Linked DNA regions of Tamandua tetradactyla. The protein of the gene in region 4 binds, or shares a complex with, the protein of the main gene of each other region. Links are inferred from orthologs where the notes say so. Each region holds a gene or a part of one and is shown on either strand. Other genes may lie near its edges.

Region 1 (7,901 bases), on a different chromosome or scaffold from region 4:
AAATTATTGGGAAAGAAGATGTAAATTTCATTATTTAAAATATTATAATTGCATACTAAGATAAGACAAGTCACCTTAAAACAACTATTAGCATTAAGATATCCTAGTAATGGGAAAGAATAGAGAATAAATAAATGTTTTTTTAAGATCCATAGCTTCCCTCTATATCATTATAAGCAGTTTGAAAATTAAGTGGGGGAAAAAGTTTCATTCACAACAACGTTTAAAAAACAATTTCAGAGGATTGCAATTGGTAGTTCAATGGTAGAATTCTTGCCTGTCATGTAGCAGACTTGGGTTTGATTCTCAGTCCATGCACTTCCCAAAAAACAAACAAGCAAAACAAACCAACAAAAATTCAACAAATGGTGCTGCAATAATGGGATACTCACAGGGAAAAATAATGAAATGTGACCCAGCCATACAGCATACAAAAACAAACAAACAAACAAAACAAAACAATGTTCACTCTTTCATTGAGCACTAATTTTTTTTTCCTGAAACAATAGTATGGATTGATATATGTTTTTAGTCTTAAGTTCTGTTGTAAAATAGTTCAACCTATCTACTCTAATTCAGTGTGTAGTCATAAAGTTATGTAAAGCTAAAATTAATCACAAAGAAAAAATTTGAAGTTTTGAAAGTTGGTGGTTTCAACACAGAGTCAGTTGATTTTGGCATTAAATAGGATCAGTTGATTTGGGCATTAAATAGGAACATTAAACCTTAATAGAGTACATGGGTAATGCACTAAAAAATCTGCTATATTGTACTAATTATGTTGCCAGATAATATTGATATTAAATCATTGTTTTAGTTTGTAAGCTACCGGAATACGATATGCCAGAAATGGAGCAGCTTTTTTTTTTTTTTTTTTGTATACTGTACGGCGGGGTTACATTTCATTCTTTTTCCATGTGTGTCCTGTTATTGCAGCACCATTTGTTGAATGGTTTGTTTGTTTTTGTTGGCTTCTTTGTTTGTTTGGGAAGTGCATGGGCCAGGAATCGAACCAGAGTACCTCGCAAGGCAAGTGAGAATTCTACCACTGAAATACCCTCATATTCCCTGGAACAGCTTTTAAAAAGGGAATTTATTAAGTTGCAAATTTACAGTTCTAAGCCTATAAGAATGTTCAAACTGAGGCATCCAGAAAACGATAACTTGGATCAAGAATGGCCAATGGGTCAGGAACACCTCTGTTAGCTGGGAAGACATGCCTGGCATCTGCTGGGGTCTCTGGCTTCTCCTTTCAAGCGACTCCTAGGGGGCATTTTTTTTCTTCACGTCCAAAAGCCTCTGGCTGTGTGGGTTCTGTTGGCTCTGAGCTTTTTCCAAAAGGGTTCCCTCTTAAAGGGCTCCAGTAAGCAACCTCACCTTGAATGGGTGGAGACACAGTTCCATGGAAACAATCTAAAGTTACCACCCACGATTGGGTGGGTCACATCTCCACGGAAACAATAAAAAAGATCCCACCCAACGACACTGAATAAGATTAAAGAACTTGGCTTTTCTGGAGCACACAACAGATTCAAACGGGCACAATCATCATCACCATAACTGAAATATACTTATTTTGTATTTATAACACACATCTGATATATTTTATTAACACTGAGTTCACTTTGATTCCAAATAATAAAAACAATAGTGCCATGCTAGCAAAATTCAATGACTTCATTTGTTTAAATATTTAGAGACAAATTTAAGGGAAAGAAGCACATGGGCAGTAAAATTCTTGGTTTAAACTATCTGAGAAGACCTATTATAGGATCATGCTATTAAAGTTTCTTCTAACTAATAAGACCCTTGACTTTGCATCATCATAGAAAATTAGAAGGAGCTATATACTATCATGCAGCATTAACTTTTAGAAAATTCACATTCTGTCTCGCTTTAGTAGTAGTCCAAACCAGGTTATTTACATAAAAAATCAAATGTCTCAAAACCTTATGGATTCTTTAGTTCAGGGTCAAGTACTCATCTTGAAATGTAAAATAGGGAGACTAATATTATTTACAATGAATTAAATATCATAGTTAACATTAAACATTTGGAAATTTGCAAGGAAGTGGGATAATGTGTACAATGTGTATTTCCTAATTAAAAGAAAAAAAGATAACTAAGGATGAGTCTCTTCACAAAACATCTCCCTAAGATTTATAAAGATTTAACTATTAGCTAACGTGGGTATTAATGTCTATTCAAAAACACTCAGTTTTTAAATATAATTCCAAAATTATATTTGTTCCAAAACTTGTCACATCATTAACTCATTTGATAGAAACTTATTGAGCACCAACTATGTACCTAGGCACTTAGTTCATTGTGAGACAGTAAAAAATACTGCAGTGGAAAAAGAACCTTTTTGACATCTGAAATGTAGTATGTATTTTGAGGCTAAGAATTAATTACATTTAACACATTCAACATACAGTGCAAAATTCTGAGCAATAAAAACCATTATACCCTTGAGCAACCTCGATTTTTAAAAATTCTCCTCACTGTTCCCTTTAAGTTGATTTTTACCCAGTAAGTCTTTCTCAGTTCTAAAATAAGAGAATAGAAAGATTTCCTAAACAAGACTTAATACAAAAGACTAGAAATGTAAGAGAAGGGATTATTAACTCTTGAATCCTTGTTGCCACTTACTCTCAATAGTGCTTTTAATGCTCAATTTTCTCTTCAAAGAAAATCCTGAATTATAAGAACAAAAAGTACAATCATCTTTAGAATCTAAATAAGTATGTTGTCTAGCTCTTACTAAAATTAGCAGAAGATTTAAACTGAGAACAAATATTAAAACAAACCTTTATTCTAAGTTATATAACGCCATTCACCATAAGCAATAATTTTGTATTTTGGTATCCGATATTTTAAAATAAATATTACTAACAGGTAGAAAATTTGTCTTTGCTGTTTTACAGTCCTAGGGGAGTTTGTATCAGTATATTTGTTTAAAACTTGAATGTTAATTTAAAGAAATGCCACTTTCTGTCACCTAAATGACATATCTTCTAGAAGGGTAATTTAATCGAGAAATGAAAAATACCACATTGTTTTCCTCTCCCAAGGAAAAAAGATGCATTCAATTCCTGAGATGTCTCTCTCTCTCTTTCTTCCTCTCTCTCTCTCTCTCTCTCTCTCTCTCTCTCTCTCTCTTTCTCTCTCAAAGGTTTGAGGTCTCTCTTCCTTTTCTTAGTGATTCATTATTCTCAGTATGTTTTCAACCTAACTGCCTTTCACACTTCATTTCTCCACCAAGCATTTATTGAGTACCTTCTGCAAGCTTAACTTTATGACAGATGTAAAGAAAGGTAAATATATATATATTTATCTATCTATCTATCTATCTATCTATCTATCTATCTATCTATCTATCTATATGGTCTGTCCTTCAGAATTTTGCAATCTCTTTTGGGGGCAAGTTAAAACATAATATATCATTTAGCAATTTATAAAGCTAGTCCCCAAATCAATGGTACAGGTAACATACATTTTACATTAATGCAGAATTTTAGCGCTTCAAAACACTTTTGTGCATTTAATCTTCATAAGAATCTTATGAAATACACACCATTATTCCTATTTTAGGCATGAGGAACCTGAGATTAAAAATTTTAAATTGCATGCCTCAAGCAGATTATAAATTGTAGCCAAGACTCAAGTCTGGGTTTTTATGATTCTAAGCCCAGTGCTCTTTTCAATACACCACAGAAAACCAGGTATTGAGTTATTCAACAGGGGCAACAGTCAGCCTTCTGCTAACGGAGGACCTAAACTGGATCTGATAGAATGGCAGGAAAATATGAAGCCACCTGAGCTGTGTCCAGCTAAATGTTCAAATTAATTTTATTCTGCATATATTTGAACTTTTAATTAATTTGTACTTCACTGTAATACATACAGCACAGCTACCTTTTTTATAGTGGCTTTACCTCAATAACAGCTCTAGTCTCGGAAATGGGGATGCCAAATATAATAAAAAGCTGGCCTAGTAGCACCATATAAATCATAATATAAATATTATAACAATATAAATATCATAAATATAAATATTAAGGGTCTCATTTCTACGAATCCTAACACATTCTGTTTCCCCTCAGCACCAGAGAGCCTAACTTGCCCCCACCCTCCTCTAGCATTCTTGCTCCAAACCACCACCTATTTTAAGATGTGAATAATGACTGACCAAATTCTACAGGTTCTCCGGTTTTACCACCCAACCCCCGCCCCTCCCAGCCACCTTCCCCTCCTTCCCAATGGACACGATACCGAGTTCAGCTTCTGCAGGTCCTGTCATGATGTTGTCACACAGCACTGAGAAATAAAATACGACCTTTCGACTCCGTCCTTGGGGACCTCTCGTTGGCCGCACGATGTAGTTCTAAACCCGGGGAGGGGACCTAGCTTGGGAAGACCGTCCCCTGAAGCGCGGTGTCCGAAGCGATGTCTCCGACAACTAGAACGACGCTGGGCATCCGGGCGTACACCACTCCTCCCCATCCTCCTGCCAACTGCAGGGAACTCGGTCCGGCAACCAGTCCATCTCACCCCATGGGTAAGGCCAGATCAGCCGGACTTTACGCAGAACTCCAATGACAGCTCAGCCGGGAGAGCAGCAAAAGCCAAGGCCGCCGGCTCCTTGCGCCCATAGCCTTCAACCTCGGACCCCCCAGACTGGACCGCAGAGAAGCGTTTCTATGGGAACCCCCTCGGGATTACGTGACGCTTTCGGACAACCAATTGCCTGTTACCTTTGGCAGCGGTACCGCTTTTCGCTTTGCCTCCTACTCCGCCCCCTCCCGCCCCCGCCTCCTTCAGCCAGCCCCGCCCCTTTCCTGCGGAGAGTCTGCGCATGCGCACTGCGCACTCCCTCCCTGCCGCGCTCTCCTGGGGACAGCGCCCGGGGCGTAGGAGGCTGGAGAAGAGCGTGAACCTAAGGAGGAAGGAGCGGGGCCACCGCGCAGGCCCAGAACCGCCTGAGCCGCGGCTGCCGGCGACGCCCCAGAGCGGAAGAGGGAAGTGAAGGCGCAGGCTGCGGATTCTGCTGGGTTGGGGTTGTTGAGGAGCGGTCCCCACCAAGAGGAGGCCTTTGCCGTCGGTCCGCATCAGGGATGTCGAAGAATACGGTGTCGTCAGCCCGGTTCCGGAAGGTGGACGTGGATGAGTACGACGAGAACAAGTTCGTGGACGAGGAAGACGGAGGCGACGGCCAGGCCGGGCCGGACGAAGGCGAGGTGGACTCCTGCCTGCGGCAATATCCTTGCGTCCCCCGCGCTCCCCACCCGGCTCTTCTCTCCGGACCCCGCCACCCCGCGGGGTCGGAGGGCCAGGGACCCCTCCCGGGACGGACGCGGAGCTGCCCCTGCGGCGCGCGGGTGGAACCTTCCTGTTTGGGGGCCCCATTCTGAGGAGTGAGAGGTTCCCTCCGATTCTAACAGAGCCGCCTCGAGACCTCAGGGTCCCAGGCTGGGGAACCTGCCCTTCCGAACGCGCCTTCCACGCGCCCGGACTCCTCAGGTTGCTCCGGGAGTTCCTGCCTCTGGGGAACAGGCTTCGCCAGCCTCGCCCTCGCTGCGCTGGGGAAGGAATTAGGTGCCTGTCGGTAGGGCTGTGTTTTCTCTGTGCTCTCCCTAGAACGGTCTTTACTAGACTCGCTGTCGCTCCAGAAATTTCGGATCGGGGAAAGGGCATGTTTCTTTAGTGGCTTTGTTTGTTTTTGTTTTTTTCTTGCGTTGAAATAGTTTCTTCCTTGCCAGGAGGGATACCGCGGTTCGCAGAATGAGATCCTAGGTCTTTTCAGCCCACGACCTACTGCTGCCTTTTTTTTTTTCCTTTTTTTTTCTTTTAAGAAAAAAAGGATTTGGCAAAATACAGCTTGCACAAAATTTAACTGAGGGGGGGGCATTTAACTGAGGGGAGGGGAGTGAGTACAAAACAAAATTCCCAAGAAAGGAAGCTTGGAGTGCTTTACCTGCTCGAGAAAAGGTTGGTAGAAAACGGGGAAGACCTAAAGAGAACCCGTGGATATATTTAAAATAAATTCCCGTGAGTAAAATTGAAGAGGAGTCGTTTGTATAAAGCAGAAACATTTTTGGAATCCCTAAAATTGTTTCCGTTTTAGTTAAAATGTGACTGTCAGTGCCTGGGTTTTGGTTTTGCGTATTTTGAGTAATCATATTTAGTTATTCGCATTTGCATCATATCTTTTTAGAAAAATGTAGATGTTGCCATACAAGCTGCAGTTTTTCAGATTTTGGGGGGCTGAACTTCATGCTTTTCTAATTATTCCTGTCCATAAAAGAAGGAAGGCTTTTCATACTCTTTCCTCATGCATGTTCTATTAAATTATAATGGGGGAAATATTTGGTACAACTATATTTGGCTTTATCAACGTACATATGTTCCCTTGATTTCTTCAACTTTCACAATCAGTTACGATTTTGCATTATTTCGATATTTGTGATATGTTTTGCATCTTAAAAAATGAACCAATCTACAAGAGGCATGCTTCGCTAGAAGTTTGAAAATAACAGTTTATCACCAACCTTTGAGTTTTTTGGACAGACTTTTTTCTCCGGAAGATAAGTGGAAAATATTATTCTTTTTGACATTCTTTAGGATGGATAAATCAAGTTTTGTAAGACTAATTTAGCCTATTTTAGATTATTTGTATGACGCTTAAATAATAGTGCTGTAGTCCTCTCAGTGGATCTGATTTTTAATCAATTTATCTTAAAATATAAAGATATCTCTTCAGCCTTTGTTATGAACCAGGGGAGATAAGCCTGCCTTCTCTGAGGGAGCCCAGCACTAGAGATGGAGGAAATAAGTGAACTTAGTGGTTTTCCTTTTAGGGGAATGACTGTACATTCTAATAGTCTGATTGGCCTTCCGTTTCTCATAGTAGCTAACCCAGTGGTGCTTTCAAAGAGGCTAAATGTAATAGGTATGGGCTAAAACAGTTTGAATGATCTGAAAGAATATATCCAAAACAGAAAAATTAAGCTGCCACCTAAGGGTCGTTTGTGTTATTACACTTTCTGTGATGTCTCCTGTCATCAATATTGAGAAATGCTAATAATATTGTTGAGATGCCAGGGTAATCTACCAGGATTTTCTACCAGAATTTCAACTATTATAGAATAAAGTTTTGGTAAAAGTTTAATTTTTTTTCCTAGTCATAATCACATAAAAAAGACATTTTGATTGCTAGGGGACCTAATAATTCTGATATGTATTTTAGGGTTTAATACCACTCTGGATATTGCGTGCATATGTTTCCCACGGGAATATGAAAGGTTATCAAGGTATTCATTTGCTATTTAGAACCAAAGGTGAAAAGTCTTTACAAAAAAATAATGTAATGTTCTGTTTTCAGTAGTTTACCTTTGAAGGCCATCTTTGAAACTGGCACATTGAATTTTCCAATAGTGAACATAGTGACTATAGTAACTTTTCCTTTTTATGTAAAAGTCAAGTTATAAAAACCAATGGTTATCAGTAGTTATAGTGCTTTCCTAGGGGCTATCCTTTGCTTTTATCTCCTTAACCTCCATCACAGGAAATATGACAGCTGCTCTACAAGCAGCTCTGAAAAATCCCCCCATCAACACCAAGAGTCAGGCGGTGAAGGTGAGTCACTGACAGCCCAGTGATCTCTACTGGGATCTTATCATTTGTCCCCAAATCCCCTGAAGTTTCACAAAACCAGCAAACTATTTTAGCTATTCACTGTCTTTGACTTAGAAGAGCTTACTATTTAGATTTGAAAAATTACTCTTTAATATAGTTATGATAATGCATGGTAGGTATAATAAGTTCAAAGAATTCAAATGACAAATCATTCCTGTGTGTTTTTAGAGGGGGCCACACAGGTTAAATTTGAGCAAGGGCTT
Region 2 (7,007 bases), on a different chromosome or scaffold from region 4:
CTACAGTTAAGACCATTCTAACTTAATTTACTATGTTTGATTTTTGTTGTTTTTGAGTTTTTTGGGGGAGTGGGAATTACTGTAACAAAATTTACATGTGTATATATAATATGTCCAACAGAAAAAATCTGGAAGGATACAGATAGGACCATTGCTTTATATGTATCTTCTAATTTTCCTACACTAAAAATGTATTATTTCTATAATTAAAAAAGTAAAAGTAATTGTGTTGAGCTAGATATTTATATATGTTACATATATAAAAGAAACATTAAGGTTGCACAAACCTTTCATTACCCTCTTGTTTTGTAGTTAGAATTTTAAATACTCAGTGAGGTCAAATGTTTCAATGAGTAACTTTCCCTAAGTAACAAAACATAGGCAGTGATGTTTTTTAATGCAGTTTGTAGTCTTTGAGAGTTTAGAATAAGAAATGATGTAATTTTTCCTTTTTAACTTCTTGCTTCACTGTTTCTGAGTTCGTTGGGTTGGGTATGTGAGCAGGCCCTGGGAAATGACTAGTCAGTCTATGAGTATTTATTTCTCTAGCATCCACTATAGGCCAGGCTCTGCTAAAGTCAGGCTGAATCTCTCATATTTAGTAAGTGCTGCTATGCATTATGCTGAGAAGCCCTTCTTTACATAATTCATTTAATCCTCCTAACAGACCGAGGTCATTCAGTGAGAGATCTTCCATCTGATTCAAATTAAGCGCTTATAGAAAACCTGGATCTCAAGTTAATTTTTTTTTGGGGGGGGGCTTGGTAATCAGTATATTATGGAGATATTCTTACATTTAAGAATCGCTTAAGTTCTTATATCCAGATTTAAGCATGTAAACATAAGAAACCAGGACTAATCAACATACATATATATATATTTTAAGGCATAGTGGAAGGGAATGCAGTTGTAGAAATGCCCTCAAGAAGCAGCATATTAATGATAAGCTTCTTTAAAAAGCTGTCGTTTTTATTATTGATACCACACACTAAAATTATTACTGTGCCATCTTCAAATAACAGTTTATGTAATAGAATAAATGCAGAAGCATCACAACAAAACCCACTTAATACAGATCCATAGCTTAACTATGGGGGTCATACGCATACCTATACCTAGCATTTCACTCTAACTTCATGTAATCAGTGAAAAACAATTTCAAGGTATTGCCTAACAAAAGCCAAGGGGAATTTTTTTTTCTAAACCAAAAATAGTTTTAACAAGTATTAAACTTCATCTTGCACACTGAAGTCATTATACATACAGGGCAAAGTGAAAGCTTTTGTATTTGAATTTATTCTTCATTTAACTTTGAAAACATTATTATAGTTGAATATTAAAGCAAAAACAATAGCAGGTAGTGAGCATATTATGATTACAATCTTTCACTTATTCACTACTGCATATAAAATGCCAGTAGTGAGTGTTGCTCGCTGGTCCCCAGTGGGAGGATTGACAGTGAATACTACCTCTGGTATGAGGTTCATCATCCTCATATGTGTCTCCATTGTAATGGCAACATCTTTCCTGATTGGGATCAAAGGCCGCCAGTCCTACCTGATTGTTTCATCAGTTTCTTGTACTTCTTTCCTCTTGGGAGTTTTTCCAGCAAAGACAATTTATCAGGAGAGAGAAAGCCATTCTCAGAAAAGTTTGCTTTAAATTGGATGATTAGGCGACCCTTTCCATATGGTCTATGATAAATTGGCATCCCTTCATTTAACACATGCTTGATTTTTCCATGCTTGACAGTCTGATCTGGTGAGAGGTGGTGACTGTGGTTCAGTTGTCAAGAGTAGATATTGACTTTTGGGAGCCACACAACTGTTTTAATCAGCTGTATGTCCATATACATGAACAGGTCTTGTCGAGTAAAAAAATAGCATTATCCTTCTGATCTAAAACAATGGCAGTATCTCCTGGCTCCAGTGCTGGCTCTTAGTCTCATTCACCGTGGACTGTTAGCTTCTGGCTATCTTTCATGCTTTTGTCAATGTAAACTTCTAGAATCTATCCTTCTTCCACTGCAGTTTTTTAATCTGTAGAACTGATCCATTCCCCGATCTGTTCCTCATGGACCTGGCACTCCATGCAACGGACTGAATTTGCTGAACCATTCCAGGTCCTATCTGATGAAATCTTATTTGGATGCCAGTCCCTTGGCAATTGAGACAGCGCTCTACTGATCCTTTCTTACCACCTCACCCTTCACATTTGTGGCAGATCACATTCTTTTGCAGAGCTAGTTTTCTTGTTGCACCATTATATAAATCTAAGGTTACTGAGAGCTGATGTACAACATTTTTACCTCTCCCTTTCTCTCTGCATCCTTCTACCATCTCCAAAAAATCATAGCAAAGATGTCCATGGGAGGAATAAAAATCCCCACCTGCTCCACCCTCTCTGATGGCCTGTCTCCTCCTTTGTCATATAATTCTTTCTGTGCATCAGAGAGCACCTCAAATGCTTGGGAAATTTATTTAAACTTCTTGACTTCAGTTGGGTTCTTATCAGGGTGATATTTTCAAGGCTAGTTTCCTATAAGCCTGTTTCAACTCTTCCTGAGTGGCATTGGGTTTGGCCCCAAAATATCATACTAAGTAACTTCTTTCACCATTTTCTACTGCAGGTGAGTGGACTAAGCAGGTAAGGCAACTGGAAGGAGCACTCTGCTGTTGAAGTTAAATTTTAAATCATTCTTGTGCTTAGATAACATAAGTGCACCTGCAACATCACATTTTGACTAATCAAATGCAAAACGTGAGGAAACCATAGGTACCTGGTAACTTGTGTCTGGGGGCTCAGGCCAGGGGCAAAGGGCAGTCAGGGAAGAATATAACATAGGGCGTTGGGATGTGCTGGCCTGCTTGGGAATATTCCCGGGCCCTCTGGTAATAAAAGAATTAAGAAAACCCTGATCTCCAAGCATTGATAATTCCTAGTTAGAAATGTCATTGTCACATCCAGGGGTAAGAAAGAAAAGGTAACTTTTCACCTGCCCTCTTCATCACCCTCTTCTTGGCTCCTTATGCTTAACTTGTCTAGTTTCACTCCTGGTACGTTCCTGTAAGGAAGAAGTGAAGGGCCAAATTTGGTTTCCTTCTCCTTTGGACACAGATTTCAAGGATGAAAATGACAAGTCCAGTCTTCAAAGATTTCACTAACTTGTAGGAGGACCTGACATGATTCTTTAGATAAATTTACTGGTTCGGGGTTCTGTGGATGCCAGACATTGGGAATAAAATAAGGATTAGGGTAGACAAAGCCTGACATTCATAGAACTGGCATGCTGGGTGGCTGAGCCTAATTATAAAAAAGGAAAGGAAGATAATTTCAGTGGATGAGAAGTCAATTTTGGGTCATGTGGCAAGCAGGGAACATGTCCAGTCTGATAGACTGGTAGAAGAAAAGGCCCCAAGGCAGGATTGAGGTTGGTTTAAAATGAGGTGCTTTCTAGTAATGGGCAAAAAACTCCTGAAATTTAGTATGTTCCAGGTGTGTCAATTCTAAGCACTTTTCAAATAATTCCTTTAATCCTCACAAGTGAAGTAAGTATTGTTATCCCCATTTTCAGATGGGAAATTGAGGCACAGAGAGGTTACTTAACTTGCCCAATATTATGCAGCTGGGATTCAGCTCAGTCATTACACAAAGAATTGTAGGACAGAATAATACACAAATCCTTTCTGTGCTCTCTAGTTTCCCTGTTTTTAAAAACAAGTGAATTCTGTTCAGTCATTCACTCAACAAACATTTATTGTTTACTTTGTACCATCACTGTTAACAGGCACGGGGGATACAGCAGTGAAGAAAGTGGGCAAATTCCTCGCCTTTTTGACGCTCGTATGGGGCGGGGGATAGGAACAATCAATACTAAACTCAATAGTAAGAGCCCCTGCCTAGTGCTCGGGCGCCCCCTGGCGGCTCTTCGCATTCGCGCAGCCGCAGAAGCCAAGGGAAACAGCCGGAACTTCCCCTCTTCTCCTGGTCCGCCCCTTCCGGCTCACTTCCGCCTACCCCGCCCGGGCCGCCAGACCGGAAGCCCCGCGCTAGGATTTGATCTTCCTCAGCTGGGGCCAAACCTGGGCACCGTCAAGATGCCGGTGAGGGGTCCGAGCCGGGGGCGGGTGGGGACACGGCTGGGATCGGGGTGAATGGCGAGAAATCGTGTGTGTGCTGAAAGAAAGGGCCGAGAAGGCAGAGGGGAAGCGAGGACCTGAGGAAGTGGACATGCGAGGGGAGGGGGTCGGTCCCTGCCGGATTCGCGGCAGTTAGGGGGTGTCGGCCTTGGGGGCGGGAAGAGTGGGCTGAAGTCCCGGGGCCGGCTGATGAGGTTGCCCCAGCCCTTCCGGCTTCTTTCTCTGAAATTCCGACCCTTTCTCTAGCCCCTTCTTCTCCTCCGAGTCAGAAGGGTTCCCGAAGCCTCACTAGAGCCTGAGCCCAAGCCTAAGTTTTTTTACTTTTCATATTTTAAGTCTAGGCCCCGGCTTCTATTTCCTTTCAAGCCCACTTCCTCCTCCGCCCGGGGGCGGGTCTCTCTCGCTGCTTGTCATCTGTCAGACCCCACTTCCCGCACTCCTCCCCTGTCGCACCGGCAGGGGTGGCCATCCCCGAGCCAGCTGGGTGTAGGGCTCCCAGAACAGACTCGAAGGCAGCACCTAGAGTGCAAATGTTCCCGTTTTCGTGTGTCAGAGTGAAAGTAAAAATTGATAGTCTGGTTGTCCTTTATTTCTGACAGCCAGTCAGTGGATATTTTAATCGCCAGCATGGTCTCTGTCTTCTAGATTAGAAAAACGAAGGTTTGGCAGCATGTAATAATTCATACAACAAACATTACCGAGCAACTACTGCCTGCCAAGCACTATTATAGCAATGAATAAGACCAATAAAACCCTGCTCTTAAGGCGCTTGCGTTCTGGTGGGAAGACAGACAATAAACATTTAAACAAATAAAAGAGAGTTTCACGTAGTGACAAGTGCTATGAAGGAAATAGGTAACGAGAGTGACTGGTGAAGAGGGGGCAGAGACTGCTTTAGATAGCGTCTGACAAGGAGCAAGCTATAGTTTCAGATAAATAGATCATGAATCTTACAACTATTACCTTTTGACTCATGTGTACAGGGCAGCTCCTGAGCTACATGCTTTGTGTAAATTATCCCATTCAGTCTTCACAGTGACTCTGTGAGGTAGATACCCTTACTGTTTCCATTTTTCAGAGACTCAAGCACGTAATTTTTACAAGGTCACACACTAGTGATAAGGATGTATTTTAAGCCATTATTCTAAAAGCCCGTGCTCTTTCCAGTTGCACATAGAGCACCCTGGACTTCCCTTGTGATTACTTTATTAATGTCTGCCTTGTTCATTAGCCTGAAAGTTCTCTGAGGGCTAGACTAAACTGGTTTTGTATACCAAGGGACCTTGCACATGGAAAGTGCCTATTGTTTATGGAATAAATGAATACAAGACTGGGTCCATGTTGTCTTACAAAAACCAGCCATCTTGTAAAAGCAGAAATGGCATGTAAATTACTCTCGTAAATGTGATAGTTTTCTTTCCTTTAACTCATACCTCTCCACTGCAGGCAAACTGTTTCATTTTACAAACTTGGAAACAGGCTAAGAGAAAAAAAGTGATGATGGTCAAAGGCATAAAGGCAGGAAGTGGCAAAGCTGAAAAGCTAGTACTTGGGTCCTGGTAAATGTTTTGATAACCACTTGGGGGAGAGTAACCCTAATTTAGTTAGCGTTTGCCTGTTTCTGAAGTGTAACTGTTCCTACCGGCTACCAGTATGTTGCCACTGAGTACAAAATTGGGGAAAGTACAGTAACACACATAATATAATATTCCTTGCGTAAAGGTACAAAAGGTGTAAATAACCTTAAGAACATAGACAATAGTAAAATATCATTTAAAAAATGAGTGAGTGAAGAGTTTCAAGTATTTATTACCTTTGGTTTTGTGTTTTTTTTGTTTTGTTTTGTTTTTTTACATGGGCAGGCACTGGGAATCAAACCCAGATCTCCTGCGTGGCAGGCAAGAACTCTGCCTGCTGAGCCACTGTGGCCCACCCTACCTTTGTTTTTAATATAATTTATTTAGTTGTAACCTTTATTATTGGCTGTTAAAAACACACCACCAGCTTGCAAAATTCATCAAAATTTAACGGTCGGCTTTCTTGAGCCAGGGTAAGAGCCAGCTCCAACAGATCACTGCTGCCATTCCTTCTTCCCCTCTCCCAGTAAATCTTGGGTGTGTTATTCTTTTTTTCCTTTGGGGAAATGTGCTTGTCTTCTTTGGTGATATTTGCTCTCTTTCTGCTTCTGTATCCTCACTTGGCTTGCTGTTCCAGGCTTACCACTCTTCTCTCATGGACCCCGACACCAGACTCATTGGAAACATGGCACTGTTACCTATCAGAAGTCAGTTCAAAGGACCCGCTCCTAGAGAAAGTAAGTCTAGATCTCTTTTCATTCTTTTCAAGTCTTGGTATAAAATGCATAGCAACCCTCTGACATTATCAAATTAGGAAAATTCTTAGGTCTCTCCTCTGCCTCAGATTGTTCTCATACTTACTACTTACTTGGTGGATGCTGTGTTCTAGACCTTCAAGATCTTTGTTAAGTGTGTTGAATCTTATAGAGAACTATTGTTGCTGTTCATTTCTCCAGGATATTTTGTTGAGAGAGAAGAGGGAATGTGCCTAGTTTTGAACACTGTTCCTGTCATCACTGTCGGTTCTTTCACATTGATCTAGTGCTGCCATCTCTGTAGCATGCCATTCCCTATCCTTTCTCTGTCACCGAGCTGGGGGGAAAAAAAACATTTTAACCTCTTTCCTCATCTAAATCTACTTTATCCGTCCTTCAGGATCTTCATTTTGAGTAATGGCTCGATTTTTAAGATTTTTTAAAATTTTGGAAAATCTTGAGTGTCTTATATAACAGTGCTCATTTCTTCTTTTGCTTTTCTGAATTTTTTGCTTTCTTTCTTGATATGCTGCCTT
Region 3 (6,928 bases), on a different chromosome or scaffold from region 4:
TGGCTTCCTCATTCCTCCCCTGCTTTGGACCGCGAGGTGGGAGGGCAGGGGCGGGTCAGACAGCTACAATGTATTCCAACTGCATAAACGTTCTAATGGAGGCTGCATGCGGCGGTGAAAGAACATTCATGGTTAAAAAAAAAGAAACAAAACAACCAAGTTTGAAATACTTGCTCTTGTTGCCAGATACTGGCAGCGACCCTATGCATGTCCCTTCCTCTCTCTTGGAGTCTCAGTTTTCTCACCTGTGAAATGGGTTGTTTATGAGGATTAGAGATGATACGTGCAAAGTTCTTAAACACAAGGGCCTGATGCATAATGATCGCTCAGAATATCGGTATTGTGTGCGTAATGGGGGATTCGTATACATATGTATGTATATCATTAGTATTAATGTTTCCAGGCCAACGGACAACTTGATTTGGGCCCTGGAACTTATAAAGTATTTACAAAATAGGGAAGAACCTCAGGCCTCCTGCCTGGGAAGTTCCATTGCTACCCCACCCAGTAAGCATCAGTCAGTGCTCCACTGTCGCTCCGGTGCTCTAACAAAGACACAGATCTTTCAGAGGTTTGGTTGAGGCCTCCCTGTTGCTATCAGGCTCCTCCAAGGAGCCTTCCCTTTTCTGGTCTGGATAGCAACCTCCTCTGCTCATACTCCCTTTAGCTTATACTGAGATGATGTGTTTATGTGCCTGTCTCCACATTCAACCTGGAAGTTCCCTGGTGGAAGAACCATGATTAACACCTATTTGGCATTTTTAGTCTTTAGGCACAGTACTTGGATAATGTTGGATAGAATGAATGAATGAGCCTTACCTCAGACCACAGCACCTAGGCAAGCTTCCAGAAAGTGGAAGGAAATAGGGAAGAGAGGTCAGACAGGACAATCTTGGCATGGATTAATCTTAAATCAAAGTCTAATGGTGCACAGGGGCTTTGCTGTCATACTTTCCAAACGCTCATACTCCACTACGGCTATTGGCTGTGTATACCTTTTCTAGGTTTGAGGTCATCTGTGATTCCTGTTTCTCTAAAACCACATTCAAACCATCAGCAAATTCTGCTGGCACTACCTTCAGAATACATCTCACCCCCTTCCCACCACCCTCATAGGCCTGTTCTAACCTGATCTACCATGCCTGTTATGTGGACACTGTGGTAACCTCCTAAATTGCCTCCCTACTTTGGCCATCTCTCCCATATGTGTTTTATTTTATTTTTTAAAGCATTTTTTCATTGTGAAATATACCATATATGCATTAAAGAAAGAGATTTCAAGATACCTTTTAACAAATAGTTATAGAACAAACTTCAAAGTATAGTATGGGTTACAGTTCCACAATTTCAGGTATTTCCTTCTAGCTTTCAAGATACATTTTAACAAATACTTATAGACACACTTCAAAGTATGGTATGGGTTACAGTTCCATAATTTCAGGTATTTCCTTCTAGCTGCTCTAATACACTGGAGACTAAAAAGAAATTTTAGTATAATGACTAGGTAGTCATACTCATTTGTTAAATCCTATCTTCTCTTTTACAACTCTTCTCTTTCATTTGATCCTTCTCCCAAACTTTAGGGATATTTGGGCCATGACCATTCGAACTTCTTCATGTTGAGAAGGGGTGTTGATATTATGGAATGGGGGATGCAACTGATTAACGTTCTTGGAGAGACTGGTACTTCTGGGTTTTAGGACTTCTCTGGCATGGGAACAATCTGAAAGTTTTAGGTTTCTGAAAAATAAACTTAGTGTGTGAAACGATCAGAGTCTCAGATGGATCCCTGGGTATTCTCTAGGGTTTTCAGGAATACTGTTGGTTGGGCCTTGCATACCTTGGCAATTTGCAGCCTCTAGCTGAACCTTGCATTACAGTAACCCCCAGAATAGCCTGCACTCTATTTGAAATCTCTTAGCCACTGTAACCTTATTTTGTTACATTTCTTTTCCCCGTTTTGGTCAAAAAGGCATTGTCAATCTCACAATGCCAGGGCCATGTCCTACACTGAGGAGTTATATCCCATGTTGCCAGGGAGACTTACACCCCTGAAAGTCCCATCCCATGTGGTGGGTGGGTGGGTGCATTAAGAGTTCATTTGCAGATTTGGGCTTAGGGAGCCCTGATGTGTTTTAAACACAACTGTTAGAGACCCTTTTCAAACTCAAGCCAGATCATAACTCTGCTCAGCACTTACAGGGCTGACTACTTCCTTTCCTTGGCCTGCAAAGCCCTTTATCATCTGTCCCCTCCATCCTATCTCACTCTTTTGCTCCAGCATACTCCAGCATACATCCTTGCTGTTTTTGGAATACACCAAGCTTGCCTTGCTTCTAAGCCTTTGCTTGGCTCCTCCCTCAGGTTCAGTGTCACCTCCTCAGGAACAGCTTTGACCACCTTTTCTAAGTTAAACTACTGAGCACAGTGTGATTTTTTTTTCCTTTAGTACTTAGTCATCCATTAGAGTATAAGTGGATTTTTAATTTGTGACTAGCATGGAAGTTCACAATCTGGAGAAAGGACATTGTTTTGTTCACCAGTTTATTTGGGCACTATTTTCCATGTAAAGTGGGCAGTCCTGATTTAAAATCCTGTCTGACCAGGCTGTTCCTTGGAGTATGAATTTTTCCTCTCTTGGCCTCCCTGGGATCACAAACGATTTCTTCCCACCTATAGAGCTGAAATGAAATGCCACTGTTTTTTTTTCGGTCTGTTTTCCCAGGACTCCTGATAACTTTTATTCAGCACCTATTTCCCACGGGGGGGGGGGGGGAGGGGGCAGTCTATCTTTAGTATCCAAGATTAGACAGCATCATAGTCTGGCAATACTTTTTTGATTTGTTGTTCAGTTCAGTGAGAAATATCCAAAGCAATAATAAAGATTCACATTTCATTTACTGGCCTTTATTAAAAAGAATACTGTTATATGAAAAAAAAGACCCAATTCAGCCTAAGTCTAAGACGGTTTAACGAAATCCCTCAAGCGAAAGCCCAAGCACTTAATCTTGGTACTTTGGGGCACTCCTAGACTCTGTCCTGACCCCTCGATTTCCCCCATCACAGATTCTGCGCATTTTATTACCCATAAAGAAATGTCTCTCTAAGCCCCACTCCTTTAACCCTTTGGCCCTTACTCTTCCTGTCAGGATGGTGGCCTTAGGGTCATCGTCCTCTCCTGACCGTCACACATGCATGGTCGCCGCACCCCCAGGGCGAAATATCTTCAGCGTCTTGTCAGTCCCCTGGATACACGGTCTTTAAGTCTTCCCATTGATTTGGGCGGGCCACGGTGGCTCAGTAGGCAGAGCAATCGCCTGCCATACCGGAGACCCGGGTTCCACTCCTGGTGCCTACCTATGCAAAAAAAAAACCAAAAACCTTCCCACTCATTTAATAACGGGATCATTTGTGCATAAGGCCTACAAGGCAGAAGCTGTCGTCTCTGTGCTCAACGTGGTGGGGTCAAAACCCTTAGACTCCCCCTTTCCCCCTCCCCCCCGGAGTATGAAAAGTCCTATTCATTCGTCAGGGCTCGGGTGGAAGATTTCTTTTCTTAGAAGCCGAACAAGCATTCGACAGGCAGGACGGGCGCCATCCCCTGTGGGCCTCGTGTCCCTTCGGTTCGGGTAGAGTTCACCCGGGATATCTGCGGCTGTGTCGGTGCCGGCACCCCCCAAGGCCAGGAGGAAGCCGGAGAACGCACACAATTAAGGCATACAAGATACCAGGCCTGCAATGGGAAGGTGAGTCCACTCCCGCGATGGGCAGACAGGTTCTATGAAGATCAAAGTATGGCGTCAAAGAAACCACCTAGGCGAGTGCCCGATTTTTCCGACCGGGGGAAACCGGAATCCCACCAGCTTTCATCCCGCCCAGCCATAGGTGCTTCCGGTTCCGGCGTAAGGCGGAAATGGGCGGGTGGAGGCTGCGCGCGGAGGTGGTGGGGGCGGTCCCAGCGGCCGCTTCCCGCCCCCCGAGTCGGAGCCGGAGCCGGAGCGGGAGTCGGAGACCGAGCATAGCTGAGTGGAGGTCCCCGCCAGAGTCGAGGTGGTTGGGCGGGCGCCGAGCCCCCCGCCATGGCCCGGAACACGCTGTCCTCGCGCTTCCGCCGAGTGGATATAGACGAGTTTGACGAGAACAAATTCGTGGACGAGCAAGAGGAGGCGGCGGCGGCGGCGGCCGAGCCAGGCCCGGACCCAAGCGAAGTGGACGGGCTCCTGCGGCAATATCCTTCCCCGGTGCGGCGGCCTGGCCTTCACGCTCCTCTCGGTTGGGCTAATTGGCTCGGCCATCCTGTTTGCCTCATCCCGGGCTCCAACCCTTCAGGCCGAGCCTCCCCACTCTCTTAGCTTCGGTCCCCTCTGACCGAAGTGTCCAACTCTTTTCCGATACGACTCCACTGAAGCTCCTTTTCCCCAGTTTTCTCATCCCCGGCACAGCTTTCCTCAGACCGGTTCTCCTCTCCACCCCTTATCCCAGGCCCCGGCGCCTCCCTGTACTGCAGCGCAGCCCTTCTCGGGCCCTACTCCTTGGTGAACGGGCTGGCTCACTCGACGGCCCCTGTAGCATGCCCACCTCGGACGTCCCTCACTCCTTAACCCGGCCTCTTCTCATTTCTCCCCCTTGTCTCCTTTCCCCATCCCCCATCCCCAGGTTGTCCCTTCTTTGAGCGCCTGATCACTCCATCTTCTCGCAGGAAACGGGGCCATTCACGGGCTTAGTCGGCGGGAGGGGCTGAGGTGAGCCACTCCTGAGTAATCGAGTGGCCAGGGCGGTCCCGGGCATAGCCCTCTCCTGGCTTTCTTGGATCCGATTGCAGCACAGCGTGAGAAAAGGTGGGTGGTTGGCTGCGGGGGAAAAAAGGACTCATGAAGTAATGAAGGCCTTAGTCGAGCCCTGAGGTCTGAGTGTGTGCACTTCACACCCCAGGATCAATCTGAACCTCCAGCCTAATGCTACTCATTCTCACCTATTGTCAGTTCTCTTGAACACCTTGGGCTTTGAACTCTGATGGTCTCATCTATGCTCAATAAGGAAGTTTGGCTTCCTCAATAGCCTTTTTGTGTATGTTGTGCGGGACGCAGCAGAAAAAACGAGTATCTTAGAGCTAAGAAAAACCAGAGGGGGTAAAGTAAAATGTAAAAGTAGAGCTACTTGACTGGAAATGACTATTCTTGTGGCCACGGGAAACATGCATTTGGAAAACAAGATTAAAAATAGAGGTGGTTGTTACAGCCTACTTGGTACCTTAGCAGTTTGAGCACAGGAAACTGACTTATTCTCACAGGAAGTATTTTTCTTTATTCAAATTGTTTTACAGGAAGTGCCCTCCCTTCCCCCTGCACTTGCCTGGCAAGGTTGGAGACTCAGGCAGTATATAAATCAGGGTCTTCGTGTTTTATCAGTTGACTCAGCTTGCACTCATAGACTGTCTTTGGGAGGAGCCCCACCAGGTTTCTCCAGTGTGCCTTTAAAACGAAAACCTTGTTTGAACAGGAATGTGGTTTTAGAGATGGGAATTCAAGTTTGTAATTGCTGTTTCAACAAGATCACCTTGCTTACCCCACTAGCAAAATGGGGTCATAGGAAGAGTCCCCAGGAGGGAAGGTTAATTCTGTAGCCTGGTGGAGGACCTAGCTTTTGGGCAGGCAGTGATGATTGGCTGTAGGGCCTGTGGCTCAGTACCCTGATTCCACAGATGGGGAGACCAAGGCCTAGTTAACTGCTACATTGGTCTTGTTGCTGCAGGAACATCTCTTTCTATGTCCATGATTGGTGATAAGTCCCTAGAAGATGCTTGGAGGCTTAGGCTTTAGCACATCTGGGTATGGTAGTTTCTTCAGTAATGACAATGTCAGAAACCTTGTTACTGGAGCATGTACCTCTGGGGATTAGGGGAAAGTGAGGTTAGTAGATGAAAACTGAAATCCACGCAAGTGGGGAACCCAGGGAAGAAGAAAGAAAGAACGAGTATTTATTGAACCCCTACCATGTGCCCAGGTATTGGACTTATATTAGGTCATTTAATTTAAACTGTAGAACAGGTTTCTAGGAGTCTTAGGACAGAGCAGAATGAAGTAAGCAGAAGGACTGTTTGGGGTAGGGGAAGGTGACAAGGGGTCTTGTCCTAAGGCTGCTATATTGGGAAGCATGCCATGATGGGAAATCACACAGATGAAGTACAAAGAGCATGGACTTTGCATCCACATAGATCCAGTCCTGTCATGCTCTGTATGGCCTTGGGTGGGTCACATGCCCTTTCTGAACCTGAGCACCCCCCTCAGTTAAATGGAGGTGAACATGCTGGCCTCTTGGAATCTGTGGGCCTGTCATGGAACAACACCCAGAAGGGTCCAGCACAGTGCTTCGCACACAGCAAGTGTCCATCCCAGACATAGTTGAGTGTGTCACTGTTGTGGTAGCATGGGGTTGGAAAGAACTTAGCTTTCGAGTCATGCAAGCATGGGTTTGTAGGCCAGCTGAATAGCTAAGCTTTGTGACCTCCAGCAGATCATTTCCCTTTCTCTGAGCATCAGCTTCGTTGACTTTAAAGTGGAAATAATGATCCTTGTTAGCAGTAGTTGACATGTGAAGCCCTGGCATCGGATCTGAGATCTTTTAGGAGTTTTAAAGTATTAATTCCTTTTTCTCCTTATTGAAACAGGTTCCTGTCTTCTTGAGCCAGAGATCTGTCTAGAGTAGTGGTTTTGAGTGATTTTGCACTACTCCCTTCTCCCCTAGGGAGAGTATTCAGCCTACAATTTACCTGCGAAGCCTCTGGAGCCCTGCTTATTGTTTTGGGGACCCCAAATTAGAAAAGGTTGTGAGATAGTTATAGTGGCTGATTTTAGGTTGGCCCTTGTTAGGCTAGGGAGAAGGAATTCCAAAGCTGAAAGATAAAGGGGGCTAGCTGCTGCTCCAGCAT
Region 4 (7,553 bases):
TCTGACATGTCTTGTGGAGAAAATACATGTGTTAGATAAGCTTTTTTCAGGCATTAGTTATAGCACTATTGGCCTTGAGTTCAATGTTAATGAATCAACAATATATATTAAATAAGGTGTTTTTAAAAGAAACACATAGAACAAGGGTATGCATTGATTGATGAAAATATTGCCACCAAAGGCTTGTAGAACCTAACCCTGTATTTCCCTAGGAACAGTGGTTCAGTATTCACTAATTCAGTGTTCTCGGTGACTTTATAGAACATAACTACCACAAATAACAAGAATCAATGGTATGTATTTTCTGTATAGTGGCAGAATAGCTTAGATTCTTAGTTTCATAAAATGCAATGTCCCATGCAACCTACAGGAATCATTTATTGAGAAAAGAACCATTTATTGAATGCTATTTTTCTGCAAAGTAGCTGTACTATTCCCATTTTGCATCCAAGGCAACAAGGAATCCCACTGCCACTAAGCAGCCTATTCTGTGAGATCCAGAGGTATCTGCCCCATGCCGCAGCAGGGGCAGCCTCTGTGATGGTGCCCCCACAAGGGCCTGCTGCGAGGGAGTATGCATCGGGACAGAAGGGAAAAGGTGTCATTGTTGATAGAGATTATTGTGCCCAAGCCCAGTTATTTTCATCATTCTGAGAGGTTAAGTTTAACATCCCAAGGCCAAGAATCTTTAGGGGTACAAACCAAGCATATGTAAATGAATAGCAAAATAAATGAGAATGGTCTTGTTAGTGACCTCACTGACAGGGAAACTGGAACTAGTCCATACACCCCTGCCTTTAGAGACCGATAGCAGTATCTAAGGGATATGATATTTTCAGAAGACTAGTTTTAGCTTTTTGTCGATTCATAGAAAACCTGACTGCCCTCCAGGAGAGAAGCCATTTGCCTGGGAGGCTGGCCTGGTGCACCCACCTCTCCCTGTTTGCAGTTGTGCTCTCTGGACACTCAACGGCAGGGGTTTGTTGTGACTAGTGTTTGTACCACGGCATCAGCAAGGCTGTCACCAGAGAAAAGCAGCCACTGAAGGTGAGCTAGCTAAGAATTTCTTTTTAGTTTCATTAAATCACACTGTTTGGCGTGTAAGCCCAGAGATTTTTAGAGAAACAATGGATTCCATGAAAGAAAAACAAGAGCAATAGCAAAAAAAAATTTTACTTTCAGTCAAGAACTTATTAGTCACATATATATATACTTTTTTTTTTTTTTTTTTTTGATGGGGGTTGCATTTCTCACTCTTGTAAGAAGGCCCATCCTTGTTACAACAGCTGGAAATCTGTTCTTTACCGCAGTGCCGGGGTCATGAGATTACAGCAGCTCCCTCCTGCTCTCACCCTACCTTTGAGACTCAGATCAGGTCTGAGTCCACAAGGACACCAATGCGGTAGTTCTAGGTGGCTGCTGCCTGCCAGGACATGTTGACCAAACCCTTTGATGTGACGCTTTGGTGTCATATTACAGTTCTGCCAAGCTGTGTGACCTTGAGCAACATCTCTGAGCTTCCGTGTCCTCATCTCTGAAATGGGGATGGTACATGATAAGTGTTACATATTGGGTACCCAGTAAAACAGGGTTTGCTTTCAGGCTTGGTACTAGCCCTTTAGTAGATGGCTGGAGACCCTTCATAATCATAAAATGGAGTAGAGAGGGAAGAGGTGGATAAAGGATTTTGCAAACCAAAAACATCCAACTGTTTTTTCTAGAATATCCTGCTGAGAAAACAAGCCTGCCTCTAAACCCTGGTCAATTGTTTAGGCATGAGTCTTCAGTTTGGCTCAGCAGTTGTCATACAAGTGCCCGAGCTCCTCGGTGTGCCCAGATCTGGATGCAAAGATGTGAAGGCCCAAGGTGTCTGCAGTCTGGCTGAGGAGAGAAAAACTACCCTGTGGGGAACAGTCAGGACAGAGCAGCATATAATTTATATACGGGGTCAAATGTTAAAATGTGTGTGTGTGTGTATATAATTTAAATAATAGGTGTGGTAGGCAGAATAACAGAACTCCAAAAATGCCCATGTCCTAGTCCCCAGTCCCTGTGAAGAGGTTACCTTCCATGGCAAAAGGGACTTTGCAGGTGCAGTTAAATGAAGGACCATGAGATAGGGAGATTAGGCTGGATTATCCAGGTGAGCCAGTGTTATCACCTGGACCCAGTCCTGGCCAATGAGATGAGTGGGGAGAATGCTGGGGGCTCCTGGGGATGGTTTTCCTCCTTGTCTCCCTCTGCCTTGGCCAGCCCACAGCCTTCCTGCAATTGCCCTGCCTGAAGCCTGGCCATCATCTTGTGACCAGGAGGCAAAAGGCCAACACAGTGAGGAGAAGGAAGGAGCAGAAAGACAGAACTGTGATGGCCTGGAGACACTGCACCAGTTCTGCACTACCTTCCTCCAAGTCAGTCAGCCCTGAGGAGTCTTGGCCCGGCTGGCTGTGAATGCACTTCCTAGAAACCCGAGAAGGTGGAAAAGAACACGGAGGGTGGCACCTTCATCCCAGGGCACCATGGGAAGTGGATTCCAGGAAGAAACAGAAAGCACTCCAAGTCATTCTCGGAACTGCAGATGAAACTTCCATGCCCAAGCTGCCCTCACCCAAGGCATTGCTTCTTTTAAAATTTACAAAACTTTGTCCCCTGAGGGAACCATCTCAAATAATGCCTCCATCTCTTCCCAGTTTAAGATTTGCTTTCCCATCCTTTGGATCTTCCCACTATAACTGCAATTACCTTCACTGTAAGCTGTGGAAACCGAGGTGGTACAAAAAGTGTGACTTGCCTGAGGTTACACCACTAGTTAAGTGACAAGAGTCAGAACTGGATTCAGTCACTCATTCCACAGATACTATCAGTGCCGTCTGTAGCCCGGGCCCTGCAATACAAACTTGGCCTCTACTCTCAGGGAGCTGATGAGTCTGCTTTTCCTCCAATCATACCACCTCAGTTCAGTTTTTACCATTATTAGTGACAGGGATTCCTTGGGTGTGTGCATTTGTTAGGATACTTTTGGTAATGGGTAACAGAAAAACTCAAACCAGCTTAAGATAAAGGACATTCCCTGGTGCACATGGCCGAAGGCTCCAGGGGCAAGTTGGGCTTTGGGCCGGTCAGCCAGATTGACCAGGACTCCGGTCAGGGACGACCCTTATCAGAACCACGTTTCTCTCCCCTCTGCATGTTTCCTGGTCGGCTGCAGCCCAGATCTGGCTTCCCCTCGCGGCTAGAATCACCCAAAGGGGCTTCTCTTCTCTTGATCATCATCAAAAGTCTTGGGCTTGGCTTTGGGCCATCTTAGGTCACAAAGACAGTTCAGCATACTCTGGGCTGGTTGGGTTAGAGATGGGGGTCCATTCCCCCAGGGTGTCAGTCATGGGGGAGGGATAGAGTGGAAGTCAGGTGGCAATCGTGCCACCTATGAGTTCAATTGCACTTGTCCCAACAGGAGGGGGTGCCAGGACAAACCATTGGAAACTGCTCTGGTTTAACTAAAACCGTGACCTGGATTTGCTGAGGCTGCTGGGACCTGTTTGAACCAACCTACAGGAACAGCAAGACAGGGGAGCCCGGGCAGCAGCGCCTCAGCGTCCCCCAGGGGGTCATGCTCACAAGTTCACTGGGCACAAACACCTCAGTTAAAGTTCACTGGGCACAAACTGTGCTCCCTGGGTGAGGGGCTCCACAAGTTGACCCATCTCATCCTCCCAACCTCAGCCGGTGGCTGGCAGGCGTGTGGTTAGGATGGGAGCTGGGTTTGGGGACACAGGGCCCCTCAAGTGGGGGTGGGGGCGACATGGGAAAGGTATTCTTCAGCCACATCCTGCAGGACAGACCAAAGTTGGCCAGGTGAGGAAAGGGTGGGAAAAGTGCTCCAGGCAGAAAGAACAGCCTGGGCTGAAGCAGGGAGACCCGGGAGGGTTGGGGGAGTGGCCCCAGGCCCCTGGAGCTCCATGGGGAGCCAGCCCCCCTTCGGCAGCTGCCTCTTGCTCTGTGGCTAACCTTGGGTGAGATGAATCCTAGGGAGAGGGGCCTGCTAAGGTAGAGGGGGCAGGTCTCCACCTGCCCAGCCACCCGGCCACATCTCCATTGACAAACCCAAAGGCCCCTAGGGACCACCTGGTCCTGCACCCACATTCAGGGGCCTCAGGCAGACTGCCGGGGAATGGAAGGTCAAGAAGTTAGCCTTAAAGAAACCCTGCTGCCCCAGCCAGTGAGCGGGGAGCGCCTGCGCGGGAGGGGGTGTGCACCCGGGTTTGCTGTGAGGACACTGAGGGCCCACTGCTTGGCCACACCCGCCCTGCCCACCCCACCCCGCCCCGCTGCGACTCAGACCCGCACCCTCCCTTCGAGCCTCAGTTTCCCCACCCAGAAAGCAGTGAGGGGTGGTCACGGACGAGACGACATCTGGGCGCTTGGGCTCCGACGTGCCAGGACGGTGCGGGGGGCCTGGGAAACGCACGCCCGGATGGGGTGGGCGGGCCCTCGGAGCTCAAGGCCGCCGCCCGCCCGGTCCCCGCCCCGGGTCCCCGCCCCCCGCCCACGAGGAAGTGGCTGCGGCGCCGAGCGGGGCCAGAGCGGTTCGGCGCGTCGACTGCCCAGAGTCCGCGGCCGGGGCGCCCCGAGGTGAGGGGCGCGGCGGCTTCCGGGAGCTGAGGGGGCGCGGGGGGGCGTCACGAGAGGCCGCCCCGAGGTGAGGGGGCGCGGGGAGGGCGCGGCGGGCTTCCGGGAGGCCAGGGGTGTCAGGAGGGCGGGGGCCGCCTGGAGACGAGGCGGGGCGCTGTCTGGAGGTGAAGAGGGTCTCGGGGACCGCCGGGAGAGGAGGGGGCGAGGGGAGTGCGGGCGGCGGGGCCGGGTCACCGCTCCGGGCCGAGGGACACGTAGGGTCCCCGCGCCCCGGGCGCCGTCGGGGCGGTCGGGGCCGGCAGTCCTGACCCCGCGCGCCGTCCTCCGGCCTCGGCCCCCTCCCCCGGCCCCGCGTCACCCCGACTCTGCCCCGCGGGCCGCCTCCCCCCCGTTATTTGGGGTCGGGAGGGCCCCACGCCCAGCCACTTCCCCTCCGTCCTCGGAGCCTTCCGGGTTGCTCCAACCGGGAAATGAGCTGGCGCCCCACTCCCCGTCCCCCCCACCCCGTCGGCAGCACATCCAGTCCGTGGAGCCGCGGGTCCCGCCGCGGGGGGGGGGGGGGGAAGGCGGGCGCCGGGGGTCTCGAAACTGGCTCATGCGAGCTGCGGGCCCCGGCCCGAGCGGCCCCGCCCGTCCCCGCGCAGGGCCCGCAGCGATTCCAGCCCCGGTTCGGGCAGCGGCAGGGCCGGGCTGGCCCCGAGGGCGGTGATTGCGACGCTCCGCTCGCCCGCGGAACGCAGCCTAGGCGCTGAACCGCGACCCCCTGGGTTCATTCCCGGCCGCCCCCCAGGCGCCTTCTGCCCGGCAGGCAGTGAGCCGGGGGCCCAGAGCAACTTTGAGGTCTCCCGCCTTCCTTCACGGACCTTGTGTGACCTTGGCTAGCGCCTCACCTATAGTTCTGAGCCTCAACTTTGCTCATCTGGAAAATGGGCATCTTTCAGTTTGCAAGGCTGAAGTGGGATGATGTGTGTAAACGGCTTAGCAGTGTCTCAGACGCAAAGTAAATATGTGTGCTGTTACCTGTAGCTATTTTAAAAGGCCGGCCCACGTTTAGTCAAGGCATCTCCCCGTGGGAACCTGACCTCTGAGATTTGGGGTTAGAGTTCCAGCTGTGCAGTTTGGGAGCTGTGTGTTCTTGAGTCAATAATTGCTTTTGTCTGAACCTCAGTTTCCTACTGTACAAATGAAGGTTTAAAACAAAACAACTTCTTAGGCTTGCTTGGGGTTGGGGGGGAGGTTGTGGTGGTAAAAGTATGCATGTGAAAGTCTTGGGTAAACTATGAATTTCTTGACAAAATACCAGTGAAGTTAGTTTAGTAACAGTTAAATAGCATTTCAACATGTCAGTGTCACAATTTACTTTTTCCATATTTGTAATCATCTGGATTTCTCCACCTTGTCCCCATTATAAATAGCATTGTTATGAACATGACTGCTTTTAGAAAAAATAAAATAATCTTAGGGGCTGTTTTACTTGTGTCAAAAATGGATTTATGCAGCCAGAGAGTGTTAACAGTTTTTAAGTTTCTATTAATGTAACTTAGCTCTGTTTGTATTACCCAAGTGTTGAATTAAATGTTATCACTCTGCCTTTCAGAAAGACTGAACCAATTAGCAACAAGTGAGAATTTCTCCACAGCTTTGTCAGCATTGAGTTTTATGTGTTTTTTTAATTATTATTTTTTTTGGTCTTGTTTGGATTACTTTAACTGTCGCTTTATGGTATCTTATGATTGTTTTAATTTGTGTTTCTTGATGTTACTGTGCCGGGTATGTAGGACTTCAAGTGCAGAGTTGGGGAGGAGAGGTTGGCTGATCTTGCGTGGTGGGGGCTCCTACCCACAACAGGAAGCCATGCAAAATGGCTCCTGGCAGCTCCCTCAGCAGCTGGGTGGGGACTTCCATGAGAGCCCAGATCCTGCTCCAGGCAGTTCCTGCTTGGTTTAGCCTCAAATAATGCTGCAATTTAGCCTCTGGACTCAGAGAAACCTGGCAGAGCCAGACAAAAAAAAGTACCTAAAGCCTGTGCCTCTTCTGGGGAAGCACTGGCCTGGGGCACTCAGCCGGTATGGAGAGAGGCAGAAATTGAATCCAATGCTGTAAGGAAGAAGAGCGCCGAGGCTGAGGTCCTGAACAGAATCCTCCAAGCCACATAGGTGAAAGTGGCCTGGCTCGCTTTGGAGAGGACACTGTATTCTCTCCACTCTGAAGTCAGAAGACCCACTAAGACTAGGTTTACAGGTTTCTCTGATCATTAGCTCCAATCTGGAAAAAATGTGAGCACATAACTCCCTGATGAATATTTATAAGTTGCATACATGTGACCCTGAACGAACACAGCATGTTCTATGTAGGACAACCCCCAAGACAGATGTGAAGAAAAGGATGTGATTTACTCATCCCACCACATTTAGTAAATATTTATCGAGTACCCAGCACTCTAATTGGTGTCGGGGACATATCAGTGAACAAAACAGATAAATATCCCTGTGCTTCTGGCAATTATGTTCAATGATACAAATTTTTCTTGACAAAAAGGGACTTAAAATTTTTTTCCACACCCTGGGGCATGGTCTTGGGCACCTCCCTTGATGGAAACGGCACCCCACTTTGGAGACCATGGATCCAGAAATTCAAAACCCCTTCCAGCTCCCCTGCAGGGAATTGAGAAGGATAGTGACTATTAAGGGGCCCAACCTCAGGCCTCCTGCTCCAGCGCTCACCCCCAAAACTATCCACCACTCCAGGCATCCCCCCCTGGGGCCTGGGTGACCACACTCCATCTGTGCTGAGCACCTACTGTGTGCTGGACATGGGGTGCAGAGAGGTCCTGGTTCCAGGCTAGGGGGAGCCCGCTTGGAGCCAGCTGCCCTGGGGAGCCTGTAAAGGGTTTGGCCTGCATTCTCCCAGCCCCACTCTGATTT

The links.
Region 1: ARPC1B (region 4) and ARPC5 share a complex: the UniProt entries of both Homo sapiens proteins name them as parts of the arp2/3 complex. The link is inferred for Tamandua tetradactyla from reciprocal best matches to the Homo sapiens genes ARPC1B and ARPC5.
Region 2: ARPC1B (region 4) and ARPC3 share a complex: the UniProt entries of both Homo sapiens proteins name them as parts of the arp2/3 complex. The link is inferred for Tamandua tetradactyla from reciprocal best matches to the Homo sapiens genes ARPC1B and ARPC3.
Region 3: the proteins of ARPC1B (region 4) and ARPC5L are in contact, whole or in part, in a cryo-EM structure (PDB 6YW6), measured with the Homo sapiens proteins. The link is inferred for Tamandua tetradactyla from reciprocal best matches to the Homo sapiens genes ARPC1B and ARPC5L. Residues at the interface, in NP_005711.1 of Homo sapiens: Arg118, Lys138, Arg142, Phe164, Ser201, Gly203, Trp204, His222, Asp223, Ser224, Thr225, Leu240, Ala241, Ser242, Glu243, Thr244, Leu245, Pro246, Phe281; in NP_112240.1 of Homo sapiens: Asn21, Lys22, Arg102, Gly139, Leu140, Gly141, Ile144, Arg145, Thr148, Arg150, Lys151.

Annotation. Positions count from the first base shown.
Region 1 is NC_135330.1:38,564,737-38,572,637, reverse strand, and holds the start of ARPC5 (actin-related protein 2/3 complex subunit 5), read left to right. Parts: upstream 1-4,890; 5' UTR 4,891-5,117; coding exon 5,118-5,260; intron 5,261-7,556; coding exon 7,557-7,638; intron 7,639-7,901. UniProt on the Homo sapiens protein: Component of the Arp2/3 complex, a multiprotein complex that mediates actin polymerization upon stimulation by nucleation-promoting factor (NPF).
Region 2 is NC_135331.1:11,179,238-11,186,244, reverse strand, and holds the start of ARPC3 (actin-related protein 2/3 complex subunit 3), read left to right. Parts: upstream 1-3,995; 5' UTR 3,996-4,097; coding exon 4,098-4,103; intron 4,104-6,353; coding exon 6,354-6,453; intron 6,454-7,007. UniProt on the Homo sapiens protein: Component of the Arp2/3 complex, a multiprotein complex that mediates actin polymerization upon stimulation by nucleation-promoting factor (NPF).
Region 3 is NC_135328.1:46,985,258-46,992,185, forward strand, and holds the start of ARPC5L (actin-related protein 2/3 complex subunit 5-like protein), read left to right. Parts: upstream 1-3,925; 5' UTR 3,926-4,079; coding exon 4,080-4,228; coding exon of another isoform or gene 4,229-4,241; intron 4,242-6,928. UniProt on the Homo sapiens protein: May function as component of the Arp2/3 complex which is involved in regulation of actin polymerization and together with an activating nucleation-promoting factor (NPF) mediates the formation of branched actin networks.
Region 4 is NC_135349.1:7,400,370-7,407,922, forward strand, and holds the start of ARPC1B (actin-related protein 2/3 complex subunit 1B), read left to right. Parts: upstream 1-4,551; 5' UTR 4,552-4,629; exon of another isoform or gene 4,630-4,696; intron 4,697-7,553. UniProt on the Homo sapiens protein: Component of the Arp2/3 complex, a multiprotein complex that mediates actin polymerization upon stimulation by nucleation-promoting factor (NPF).